Linked DNA regions of Drosophila melanogaster. The protein of the gene in region 1 interacts with the protein of each later gene in a pairwise test. Each region holds a gene or a part of one and is shown in the gene's direction. Other genes may lie near its edges.

The links. Proteins that work in one complex are often made in the same cells at the same time.
Region 2: the proteins of beat-IIIa (region 1) and Dlc90F interact in a two-hybrid assay, tested with the Drosophila melanogaster proteins (one large-scale study listed by BioGRID).

What each region holds. Positions count from the first base shown.
Region 1 is NT_033779.5:17,127,244-17,135,796, forward strand, and holds the start of beat-IIIa (beaten path IIIa), read left to right. Parts: upstream 1-3,780; 5' UTR 3,781-4,381; intron 4,382-6,239; 5' UTR 6,240-6,374; coding exon 6,375-6,573; intron 6,574-8,553.
Region 2 is NT_033777.3:18,295,623-18,300,821, forward strand, and holds Dlc90F (dynein light chain 90F), read left to right. Parts: upstream 1-3,606; 5' UTR 3,607-3,799; coding exon 3,800-4,135; 3' UTR 4,136-4,422; downstream 4,423-5,199. Other genes in the region: Polr1E (RNA polymerase I subunit E), read right to left, coding at 4,751-5,199. UniProt on the Drosophila melanogaster protein: Acts as one of several non-catalytic accessory components of the cytoplasmic dynein complex that are thought to be involved in linking dynein to cargos and to adapter proteins that regulate dynein function.

The sequences.
Region 1 (8,553 bases):
CCAGAAAGAGTGGACCAGAAAAAGTAGCAAGGACGAAAATGTGATGGAAAGCAGAAAAAACACAACGGCGGCCAAAACAGAGTGTTGCATACATTGCGTATGCGTAATGTGTTACAGATACTCCACATACGCCACGATGTCTGGGCGTGTGTGCGAGTTCCGTTTCCGCAATTAAAATGTTGATTACATGAAGTACGACTGCCGCTTGTTTGTTTCCCTTGTGCCACGCCCCCATTTTACCCATCCGATGCTGTGGGAGCCACAAAGGAAAACGGAAATTATGTGTAGATGCGGGCGTTGGCGCTTAGCTGAGCTTTTCATTCGGCATTAACAACGCAGTGGTAAAATGGCAGCGGTGAAGGCAGCCACAATAAGCAGCGACCATAAATTGCAAACATTTGGCTTTTTTGCGATAAGCAATCCGTTGGCAAAAGGAAGGGGGAGCAGCGAGTTTAATGACCTACCTAGATTACTAAAGCCCAGATAAGCGATAAGTGGGAATACACTACAGTCAAAACATGGAATGTCTTAAAATACCAAAAAGTGCCCTTACACGAAGCCTTCAATTAGGAAGTTTTATTATTGAATTTAATGCTGGAGACTGCTCGCGAGACAACACATAATTGAATAATTTAGTTTGTTTCGATTTATTAGCTTGATTGCTCTTGATTCAAAATTAGTGAATAAAGAACGAATTTTATTTCTATAATATATTGTAGGTAAGAACAGAAGTCTGAATGCAGCATGTTTACTCTTCTCAACATAAAAAAAGAAGACTGCTGCTATGGCTGAAAATAGCACGCTTTACACCGTAATTAAATCAATCATACGACCTGTTGGTAAAGAGGCCAAGACAGAAACAGAAGTGAAAGGAGCAGCCGAAAAAAAAGCGGGGAGGCAACTGGCGTGACGAAGGTAACGCCCCCGAATACACCTGGAGAAATTCCCGCCCCAGAGCCCCCTGCCCGGCCAACGAACACCTTGCTTAGCATAAATGAATATTTATAATTCAAACGCCTTTTGCCCATACTTTTTCCTTCTGTATGCAAAACAGCGGCGGCGACTGAAGATCCGCAAAGTGCTTTTTTCGAAGACTGGAATACGAAAGAGGGAGACAGGGTGTAAGAGTGTAAGGGGGAGAGAAAAGAATAATTTTTTATGAATATTTATTTGTTTTTACAAAATCGAAGTTATGCATTTGCTGCTCGCTCTTTTCTTTTGCTGGAAATAATGCTCTGTTGGACACGTACCCTGCCCCGAAGTGGCATCAAAGTTTTCCCAGCTTCGACTGCTGAAAGGTGCGTAAGACAATTTAATTTATTTGATGCATTAAAGCAGAAATATTAACGCTATAAATCAATGAGTACAAAAGTTTTTCCCCTCCTTTTTTTCTCGTTCTCTTGCTGTTCTTGTTTAAGTGTATTTCGTATTAATTTATGAGTGTGCCCTTAACCCTACCCCCAACCCCATATTCACTCCCTTTGGGCCAGGCCGAAAACATTTCTTTTGCGCGAATTTTTTATGACAGCTGCGCGTAAAGTTATCACACGTAAATTCAGCTTGGTGGAGAGAGCCTACTTTAAAGGCCATCAATGGGTAACAATACAATACGACAGTTTCGTATTGATAAATACCTTTAAGGTAAGATATACAGTTCAGCTAATAAGAAGAACTGAATTTTAATTGGCTCTCTTTGGGTTTACTTCAAATCAAGAATCTCCCCTCTTGACTCGTTTCATTTACGATTTCACTCGAAATCCAATCTACACGCTCTTGTTGAGAAAAGATGAGAACATAAAATCTAGCAATATGAAATATTAGCAAATAACTTAAAGTGCATTTAGAGACTTCTATATTTCTCTTAGTGCTTTTATTGGTTGGAGGATTTGCTATGCAGGCCACAAATGTTTCTGACTGGGAATGGAATCTCCTTTAGGGCTACCTAAGCTAGACTGAACCATTAGCTAAGCACACAGAGAGGAGAGCTAAATACTCCTTCTAGCCCCTTAACCCTCTCGTAGCGTTGTCCCATTTGAAAGCCACATAAGCTTAAAAATTTCAAGTGCTGCACCGATTTCAACCCGGCACAGAAATGAAGTGAAATGCCACTGTCCCGGAGAGAGTTTCCAGTTGGAATAGAAGCTGTAGTACCAGGCAAATGCAGACAAAAAAATATCTAGTTACTAAAGGAGTTAAACTTGAGTTTGTGTATATGGTATTACTTTTAGTTTTCATAGTATTCATACATTAAATTAAAGTAATGCAGTGGTAGTCAAAATCCATCACGCGTTACTCAATGTAGGGAAGGTTAAGTAGGAGGAAAAATGTATTTAACATTTTAAAGTTATAGGGATTGCTGTAAATGTCCTTGCGTCATATTAATAAAACTGCACCACAGTAGCTACTTCGAACTCCATACTATACTTGTGTTCAAAAACTCTGTGCCGTCAACCAGTACTGGTTGTATTCGCTCTAACTAACCTAGTATAACTTTTTACTGTACGACAAACGCGTATAAAAGTACTTGAAATAAATAGAAAACTGATAAATTTAAACTTGTTTCTTATATGCAACTTTTCTAAGTGTTTTAAGGTCAACATTTGCATGTGGAAGGGCGGAAGGGCAGGAAACTCAAAGGAAGGAAGCTCGTCGGAAAACCAGGGTTAAACCTTTAAAAGGTCTACAGTTTGTAATGTTCTTAACGCACTTTTAAATTTGTCATGCAAAACGAAACTTTAACTCGATTAATGCGCAAAAAGTTCAATTATTTGCATTATTTTTCATTTTCAATTTGAATTCCATTTTTGCTCATTGTCATTGCTGGTGGGCAAACAAAAGTCGCTCATTTAACCCGAATCCCCTCGTTCAGTTGTGTGCATCGCATAGATAAAGTCATATATCAGGGATAATTTTAAAAACCCTTTCGCACCACCCCCCTCCCCCTGCTCTGACGTCATCAGTTGGAGTTTGGCTTTCTGGTCTGTTGGTTCATTAAATATTGTGATAATTTTTCATATTTATTTTTAAGTGGTTTACAGTGACAGTGAAATTTACATTTTATTTCATTAAGCAAAGCGCCATTTATATTTGATTCTCGGGCCAACTCTCATTTGAGCTTATACATTCGCATTTATTTATTTGCATATACAATTTTATTTGTCCTTCGTTTAATGGCGTTTAATTGAGCACCAGAAAACAATGTGCAAATTAATTGCATTGCCTCGCTAGCCTTGAAATTTGGTTAAGTCAATAGTGCGTGGGAACAACGACACGAGGTTACGAGCTTGAAATAAATTTTCATTCCGAAATTAATAATGTTCTCAGCATTTATTGTATTTATATATTTCGATAGCTTATTAAAATTCTATCAATTATAAACTGAAGTATTATTAGTAATTATTCGAAAAAACATGATTTGTATAAGTAGCCCTGAAACTAAAATAGCTAACAGCATTTCGTATACTAGGAAAATCCCCGTAAGGTTCGCAATAATTGTGGCAGACTGTATGCGGTGTTGGCTAAATGTTATGCTATTGTAAGCCATAAATGTTTCAGCACATTTCCCTATGTATGCCATACCACACATTCTAATAATTTATAGGAAAGTTTCGATGTTAAAAACACGCCACTGTTATCTGAAACAATTGGAAATGGTACAAACAAGCATAAGGAGAGAGCAGGAGAGCAAAACGAGCTTTTTCTCTTGCGCTTTGCTACGTCGAAGGACATTCCCCCAAGAAGCTTCCAGTGCTGGCCAAGTGAGGGCGCCACCCGCGTGTTAGGCACTGTGAGCATGAGTTTTTTTTAGTCGCTATTTCAACTTTGAAGTGAACGCACGTCATTTTTGTCGCGCGCGTTGTTACAATCCCCTCTTTGTGAAGGAGCCAAACGAAACCCGAAACTGAAAACTGAGCCAATCGAATAACACGCACACTTTCAAATTTTGTGCATGTGCGTGTGCGAGAGCGAGCGGTCACTAAAAGTAATAACGTGTTTACAAAAAAGTAGGAATGCCCCGTAATACTCTCAAATAAAAACGAAAGAGTGCAAGTGTGGCGGCAATAATAACAAAAACGTATTCAATGAAAATGTGAGCAAGTGCAGGTCGTGGAAATGAAAAATCTTTGAGCCCCCGCTCGAAATGCCGCATTTGTTGCGTGCCGAAAACATTTGTCAGGCATTTGTTGTTATTGCTGGGAAAACTGAGAAAACTGTTGCGGTTGCGGTTAATTAAAACGCGAAAAGTGGAACACAAGGAGTAATCATCTGGCGACCCCAAAACTAACAAAAATTAAAAATAGTCGAGCCAACCGAAAAAGTGGAGAAACCAAAAACTGAACCTTGTAAGAGCGAGGCCTTAGCTTTTTCATCGTCAGTTTTTGTAGTTGGTTTGCCATTCCTTTAAATAAAAAAGTAAACAGTTTGGTTTTATGGTATTAAGTGAGCATTTTTTTTTTTAGAAATATTATGATAGATGTATGAAGGAAGGTTACATTCCCAAACAACTTTTGTATATAAAAAAAAACGTTCTAGCAAAACATTATTTTTGTAACAATAGCTAAAAACTGAAAAATGTAGTATACAAAGTAATTAAGTTGAATGACTGACATGATCTGATTTGTTTTGCATTCCAGCATACAGTCTATGTAATTATTAAAGCGGTATCCTTAAAGACGTAAGACCGAAACACGGCGGCTTTATTTTCCTGATTCGGGCCAAGAACTTCAACTTAAAAACTCGACACCATAAATTTCACATTCAGCCAGAGAGCATTTTAATCTTTAATTATATTTTGTATTTTTTTTTTTCACTTTTTGCCGCTATTGCCATCTCCCTTGTTTAGCTTCTACTTCAATTTAGGCTAATTATGTTGCTTGGGCGTGTTGGAATAGATATAGTGTCCTGTATATAAGGCGGGGTCCTGACCATTTATTCAGTACTGCCTGCTTTTGGGCGTCCCACTTTCCAGAGTTGTTGGTTCTGTGGGTGTACGCGATTTTATTGTTGCTGTAATTTAAACAACAGCTGCTGATGTTGTTGCTTTATTATCTGCACCTGACTTGTTGGCTATTTATTTGTGTTTATCCAGCCATTGTTGGCTTTAAACAAAGTGAAATGCCAAAAAAAGGGAATTAATCGGAAAAAATTGAATATTATTGCTATCTGTCGTGGAATGACAGTATATTTATAAATATTTGTTAATTGTTCGTGCTGTCACTGGATTTGCAAATGCCCATAAATCATTTCCAGCATTCGTGTAATGTGGGCGTGTGTAATTTCTAAAAGTACGTGTTTTATTGACTTTTAATGAGAAATACCAAATGGATCGAGAAGTTAAAAAATATATTTTCATAGTTTATTTTGTTGAAAGGGAACTTTACAAAGACTTCAAACGTCATTTAAAATGTTTCTAATCTCATGTTTTTAATTTCATAGATGCATGTTGAAATGTTTTTCATTATTGCACTGATCACAATTCAAATCTGGTTGCCCGCATGTTATTGAACCTTAATTGCTGTCATAAATAAAATAACAATTTGGAAACGAATAACCCTATTACCAATAAATTTCGATTTAACGTATGTTTGAGATGAGGCCATAATTTTGCCAATCTTGACATATGAGTTGTTCCCAGTGGCTCGACCCCAATCCGCAACCAAATTCCTGGTATTTCATTTAATAAACAGCGCCTAACTAGCTTATGATAATTGCACAGCTAGCTGCGCGTGCTTAGTTTGGATTATAAATAAGTATCGTGGTTAGGCACTTGAAGGATTGTGGCTTACTAAAATTAAAGCAATTGGCATATTGTATGTCACCGTTTAAATGAAAAAAAAAGGCGACCTTTTAGTGAATTTCCAACGCCGCTTTTGCTGTTAGTCACCATCTTCAATTGCCTGGCAAGCGTTTTCCTGACGCTCTAAATCAACCAAAGGGTTAAGGAGCGAGCGGCAACTGGATTTTGAATTTATGTGGCAAGGTCTTTCCTTCGTTTTCCGCTTTTCCACGCTTTTTCCGCCGCAGAACCGAGAAAAGGCTGCTGTGTAATTAATCTTTTCCCAAAATGCTTGAAAATTTATGTCTTTAACTTGACTGCAGTGCCGCTCTATATGATGGAAGCAGCAAAATGGGGCGGGGAGCCTCAGGTCCTTTAATAGTTTTTGCCTTTAACTTGCCCGTTGTTTTTGTTCGCGTCGCGATTAAAAGTGATTAATAGCCAACATTTTATTACCGCACAGAGGCAGCAGTATAGGGGGTGCCCCAAAACAACAACTTAATGTCCAAATGAAATAAGTGAAAATTTCACACCGAAATTAATAAAGACATTAGTGCGTGTGGGCGTGGCTCATTTGGGGCATTTAACGGAAGCCAAGATGTGTGCGGAGGATCCATTCACCCAGCACCAGCTGCCGCACCACCATAAAACCGAGCACCACCAATGCCACCAACAGCTGCGAATGAATATGGAGCAACAGGACGGAACTCCAGGAGCGAGAAAATCGGCCACAGCAAGGACGGCGGCTACGAGTTTGCAGATCTGGTATATCCTACATGTGATACTAGTCCTAATCGGTGAGTTATAAATCTCCCTCCCTATATGTATGCATATACAAAAGGTTCTTTTGGGCACCATTTAAAATGGGTCATAATTAATGCCAGGCCGGGGATGTGGGCATCTTTTTTGCATTTATCTAAAAATTCTGGGGGATTTATCTAAGCACAAATGGCAAAAGTGTTCCTTAGTCGGCATTAATTTATAGATGGGATCTAATTAAACAAGTGTACCCCTGAGTTCCAGTAAAGGGATTTCTTCTGCTTGCCAGCAGGGAAAGTATTTAATATTGCAATTTTACGGGTAAGTTCTGGTCACACATTTTTTTGTCAAATCTAATTAAAAGCTAATTTAAGTAATCAAAAAAACTCTTTTACCAAACAAAGAAATTAACAAAGAAATTTTCTCTTTATTCCATTTACTTCTCAAGAACTTTCAAGTGAAGTAACAAATATCTTAAATGTTTCCCCAGCATTTCTCAGAAAATCTGACGCCAAACAAGAAGTTTACGCATTTCATACTCAAACATTTTTACAGAATTCTTTGTGTGGACGGAAATCCAGCTCCCTCAAAACAAATTCCTGGGAAAATCCCAAGAAAAACAATCAACAAATTGAAAGCCAAAGACCAAAACAATCGAACAAGTCCATTGGCGAAAGACAAAAGCGGCGACAATAACAAATTGGAGCACGCAGACGGAATAGAAATTAATAAATTTGCCAAGAAGTCCCCACTCAGGATTACTTGTTTGTTATTAGAGGGGACCTCGGAATTCTATTATTTTTACTCTACAAACATAATATTTACAATCCAGAGCTAGGTATTTGTAATTTGAAAAAATGCTTGCCTTAAAAATATTTGTTAAATAAATTGCATCATATTTGTCAGTACTATTTCTAGGATGAAATATTTATATTATGAAATATATACAGCCATACACATGTTTTGAAGAGTAATATTTCTTGTATATATTTTTTATCTTTATTACTTTCAATCATCTGTGGCGCTGCTTTTGTCGCATTTTTCGAGTTCAAGCCAGTTAAGTTGACATTTCCGGCAGGGCAGAAACGTGATGGGGTTTCTAATAGGGGTGGCGTAAAAGTAGAGGGGCGAAAAAGTGAGTGGAAAGACTGTAACTGTCTTTTCATTATTTTCAAATCATATCACAAAGGGCAGAGCACAAAGATGGGAATGCTGAGCAGCGGAAACGGATATGGAGCCAAGTGAATGCTTGCACACCAGCGGGGATCCTTGCAGGTCCTGCGGCTCTCCCTATATCCGCCTCTTTCCCTATCCTGGCTCTCTGCCTTCCCCTGTGTGGGTGCGTTGGCTTAATTCAATGTCTCATTTGCATACATTAAAATGTCACATTTTACATGTCGTTTGAGCGTCTCGCCTTAAGCCTAACAGCAGTAACAGCATCCGCAGCAGAAGCCAACGTCAGTTAGCGTTAAGGATACTCCCTGGGAGCCTAAGAGCCATCCTGGCATCGGGAAATCCAAAGGCGCCACCCACCGCCCACTCCTACACATAAACTACATTAGCAATCGGAGCAGCCGAAGGCAGCCATGTAAAAATGGCTTAACGCGCAAATCTTTCAACTAAACATTAATCCTAATGGTTTTCAATTTTGTTGCGCCTTCTGTGGCAAGTCAAGTTCGCGTCTCCTTATTTGCCAGTCTGTTTTTTCTTTTCATTTTTTTTTTTTTTTTGTTTTGTATTTTACTCAACCCATACCTACTACTTTTCATTTTTGGCGCTCTGACTTCGACTCTGGTTGTGGGTCCTGCTTTGCATGTTAATACGCTCTTTGATATTGCCGAGCAGCGCCTGCAGCCTGATTGCTTCTGACAGCGTCCCCCGAAAACGCCCACCACCCCCAGGCTAACTGTAAATATGAAATTCGTTTAAATTTCATTGGAAACTCAGCTCGTTCCCATTGAATTTAGCGAAAATAATGACCGAACTCAAATAAAAAAGCTCCACCTGCTTTAGCTCTC
Region 2 (5,199 bases), on another chromosome or scaffold:
GTCAATTGAATTTAATGCCATACATTGCAAGTTAAATGAACTTAACTGAAACAAGAGAGAATGATCAAGTCGATTTCCTCGACTATCAGATACCCGTTACTCAGCTAGTGTGAATGCAAAATTTCATCATTTTTCTGGGATATCGATGATGTTGGGTAACAAAATGAGAAAATATTTTAACAATTTTCAAAAGTGTGGGCGTGACCGCTTTAACGGCTTTAGGGCGTTAGAGTGACGTGGCAAAAAGCCACGATGCGTGGTCCAAGCTTCCGGAGTTCAAAAAAAGATTTTTTGTACTCGGCTAGCTTTGCCCTACTCTACGATTAACGGTTATAAAAACACGCCCAACTTTTGGCTTCCTTCGCTGGTGTCAGTAGTTGTTTTTCAAGCGCCTCAAAACCTGCCCAATATGGCAGAATCAGAATCGAAAAGAACGTGCCCGCAATGCGTTCATGCAATTAAGCAAATTACGGAGAGAACAACGAAGCCGAAATCATTCAATTTACATCAAGTGCGATAAAGATGGGCAATGATGGGAAAACAGAGCCATGCTTTGTTCAATTCTTTGAGGTTAAGGTTTATTGAGCTCTGGCGATCTTTAAAAGGCAGTCTCGTTCGTCGAAAGAGCTCTTTATCATCGAGGGGTTAAAGATTAATGAGCGCTTGTGGATACAGCTTGAATCTGGTGCGACAACAATCTTTACGCAGATACACGCTAGCAAATATTTGATCGGCAAATTTGGCGCTCTAAGCAGCAGCAGTCTTAACAGAAAAAAAAAATCTAAAATTCTTATAGGGGAGACCGGAAAAGGCGAAGAACAGGCAAAAGCCCAAATGCAAAAACGGGTTTTACTTACTTAACCCAAGATTTTGCATAGTCTTCACAAGTCTTCCTACTAATTTTTATTTGCTATGCAAAAGCGGAATGAATAAGTATGAAATAGGTGAAATAACCATTCTACATTGTCAGCACGTTTTCCTGTTCATCGTATACATACGTACGTATTATGTATGTATGTATTTTTCTGTACTTTTTGTTCTCCCTGCCGTTCCATTCCAGCTCGTGCAGTTCGTTCTAAAAGCGTATTTACATACACACAACTATTGATAGACATACTGCATATACAATGTAGTTTTGTGCTAAACCCACAAATTCTAGACAAACAATGCGGTCTGAAAATTGCACGTTTGCATGTAAAATATATGGGGAGCAGCAGATGAAATTCATCACTGAATGCTCCTCCATCTCCTACCCCTGCAATCCACTCGTGCGTTTCATGGCGGGACACTTGGCGAATGTGGGTCAAAGTTGAACACAATCAGAGCTGAAAGCTTACATCAGTACTTTCGAACACGCCCACATTTCTGTGCACTCCAATGTGTATCCGAGTACTGAGTGCAAAAGCAAAACACTTGCCGCCCATTTCAGTAGTTAAAAAACAATGCACTTTGAAAAGCCTATAAAGAGGATCTTTTGTGCCATTTGCGTGTAGCATCAGATTCAGTCGTATAAATGATACCCTTGGGCGTATAATAATATTTAATATTCTGATACTTTTTGATATCATCTGCCGTTATCATAACGAAACGGTGTATACGATTTAAGTAAGCATATTAAACCGCTTTATTGCTTGGCATTTCATAAGATTGCACTTCTCTAAAAGATTGTGTAATATATATATATATATATGTATATATACATTGCGTGATATACATTTCCTGTTTTTGTCATATGAAGATTGCTCTGCGAAGGGTTTTTATCACTGGGCACTGGCGTAGAGAAAAAGGGTGCTGGAATAGCATATGTTATATGGTTATGGCTACCATGTGAGGATCGCCCGAAAGTCAGTCAGCTGGAAAGTGAGGTAAGCGCGCAAATGCACCACCTGCTGCGTCCGAAAGTGACAAAACGAAAACGAAACTCCTTCGGTTTTCTATTTTATTAATGGGTAAAGAAGAAGCTTCGTGCAGAGTTACACAGAGAGAAAAACTGCAAATGTATGACTCGTAAAAAAAGTGTATTTAGTGACCAATGGTGACCATTTGAAGCGGTATTTATGTAGGCAGCTGTTCTCTAATAATTCCAGTTATTCGTTAAATGCAATGACAGTGTTTTTCGTGTGCTGGCGATTATGCAGTCAAAACAGAAAATGGGTTTCCCATCCCATCCATAAATGTCACTGTACTCCCCGCTTATCGCTTGAGGCTTGAGTAAACAGTCGGAACAAACGTAGCATATCGGTTTATGCAATACTTTTTGAATTGTACAATAACTATTGTGCAGTCGCCAAGTTTCCCCTTTTGCCTTATACTTGCAGTCAGCCGGGCAAACATTTAATTAATTAACAAATGCGACCTTGACTGGAATTTCAATTAAGTAAGTAGCTTGAGCAAAACTTTGATGAGAATGGTGGAGTGATGTTACATATGTATGTATGTTTGCAAAAGCAAGCAGTTGTCAGGGTGATGTTGTGGTTAAATATCAATTGCGGGTAACTAACCTTTTGGTGATTTCCGATTCGTTCCGATCCGATTCGTTTCGATTCAAAAAAAAAAAACCGATCCGCAAAGTTGGTTTAGTGGTTTTTTTTTGTCTTTGCCTTTTTGGTTCGCAGAGGGTGGACCAAAACAGTTAAAAGTTAAAGAGAGTGACTAATGCCGCACGCACACAGTCGCACTCAATTTGTTGTCATACACACACAGAGAGACAAGCGCACACTCGCGGGCATCAACTTTGCACTCTTCTCACCCCCTCTCGCTCGTTCACTCGCATTCAAGGTGGTTAACGAGAGGTGAGCCAACAAAAACAACAACAGCAGCAGCCGCGGAGCGCACTCACACACACGCGCTAAATAGCTGAACAGCAGCTGCAAAAGTAGTAGCACGTATCCGCAGAGACAAAAACGAAGAAAGCAGGAGATGGAGAAGGAAGTGCGCCTGCAGCTGCGACAATTATCACCCGATTATTTCGCAGCGTGTATTGCGAAATGTGCGCCTTCGATTTGCTAAATACTTTTGCTTAATTATACGCACGCACACACACACCAAGGCACTTTCCCATAACGAATTTAATTCAATTCAACGACGTGCTGCACGAATCGCTTTCAGCTGTGCATTTAATAGCGATATTTGTCGGCCTTGATATGCGTCGATGTTTTTCAATGGTGTCGCAGAAGAGTTATGGAATAATTTAATTATTTTTCGTTTTTATTGCGCCGCGAACGCGTCCGTTATGTTGATTCTGCCAGAGTGACCGTGGCTTGCAGTCGAAATAATCCAGCGATTAAAAGTTTAATTTTCCCGCGGTTTTCAGCACTGTTTTCTATCGATTAATTTAAATGCTTAGATGTGTTTCCACTGGCATCATGGTTATAATAGGTTTTAACTTGTTTGGTTCCTTTTGAAAGTACTTAATCTAATTATACTCTCCTTGACTAATTGCTTTGGAAAATGTTGATAGCGAAACCTTTGTTTTTAATAAAAGACAACTGTTTCTTCTCTTGAAATCTCTAGTGTGAAGATGCTGAAATGACCCACGATGTAACCGTTTCTCCGGTTAAATTGCAACACAGTCTGACCAGATCAAGGTGCCCAAGAAAATACTTCCAAATTAAAAGCAAACTTTGCTTTCCGCATCCCTTAGAAAAATAGAATCCCGATATATATTATTTGGACTGCTCGAACGCCGCCGACGAGCCCAAAAACGCGCGCACATTTACAACGACAACAATACAAACTTGAGCTCAGTACGTAAACTTTTTTGACCAGCTGCCGTTAGAAGCAAATCAAAGCTGCGACGATGGATGACTCACGCGAAGAAAGCCAGTTCATTGTGGACGACGTGAGCAAGACGATTAAAGAGGCCATCGAGACGACCATCGGCGGTAACGCCTACCAGCACGACAAGGTGAACAACTGGACCGGCCAGGTGGTGGAGAACTGCCTGACGGTGCTCACCAAGGAGCAGAAGCCCTACAAGTACATTGTGACCGCCATGATCATGCAAAAGAACGGTGCTGGACTCCACACCGCCAGCTCCTGCTACTGGAACAACGACACCGACGGATCGTGCACAGTACGCTGGGAGAACAAGACCATGTACTGCATCGTTTCGGTCTTCGGACTGGCCGTCTAGAGTGGAGGAATGGCAGGACTGCCGGAATTCGCGATGAAGATGACTTAAAAGGGGGAGGGACTAACAAGATTGCCGTCGTACACCAGCACACACCAACAACACAAATACCATACTTTTTTGATCGGCCATCCATCCTGCTGTAATAACAAAATTTATTATGGAGCACTTGAAAACCTTGTCGTCACTTCCAAGCAATTAGCAAGCAACTATTCCGTTGCCAGTGTACTCGCCTAATGTTATTCTTGATTTTCAATCTAAAAACGTAAATAAAAAGTGTATAATACCGTAGCATAATAAGTTAATCATTGCAAACTGTTTTCAATGGGTCATCATTTTTTGGGTCGTGGGAATATTTTTCGTTTCCATGGCAGCAATTGGCCATTGGTCTAAAATCGATTTAAATTCCCAGGCATTTGTTAAAATTAAACTTTAATGGTCTTTCTCTTATTTCTTTATTTATTTTAGTTTATCAAAACCTTCTATCGTTTAGAATAATAATATTCCTTCTGGCATTGCCCAAAATAACAAAATCAGAAGTACCTGGATGCAATAAATGTAATTGGCGCGCCAGGGTTTGTTAAATCGATGGCGGGCGCGGTGTCCTTGAAGATACTCCTACTTCTTGCGCTGGAAGCGACGGCCCGACTTTAGAGCCGGAACCTTGCTGGGCAGGCGCAGGCTAAGGATGTCCGAATTGGATTTTGGCAGAGCGTTCACAATGTGGGCGTACTGCTTGATCCGAGCCTTGGTGGTGGCCAAAGCACGGGAGAGGACATTGATGTCCACTTCGAACTTCTCACTGAGGAGCAGGGCCATCACAATAAAGTGTGTCAGTGCCTTTTCACTGCTGAAATTGGTGCGAGTTCCCTTCTTTGCCACATTGGGATCCGCAAAACGATGGCGTATATCATTCTCGATCTTCTCCGTGATACCAGAGAGCTCAGCCTTTTGCATTTGACGCGAACGAAGGGAAATTAGCGACTGCAAGGCGTCCATGTAGATGATAAGTTTAATGTGCAAGAAGTCTCGCTTGGATGAAACGGGATTTTCCTGAATTTTGGCCA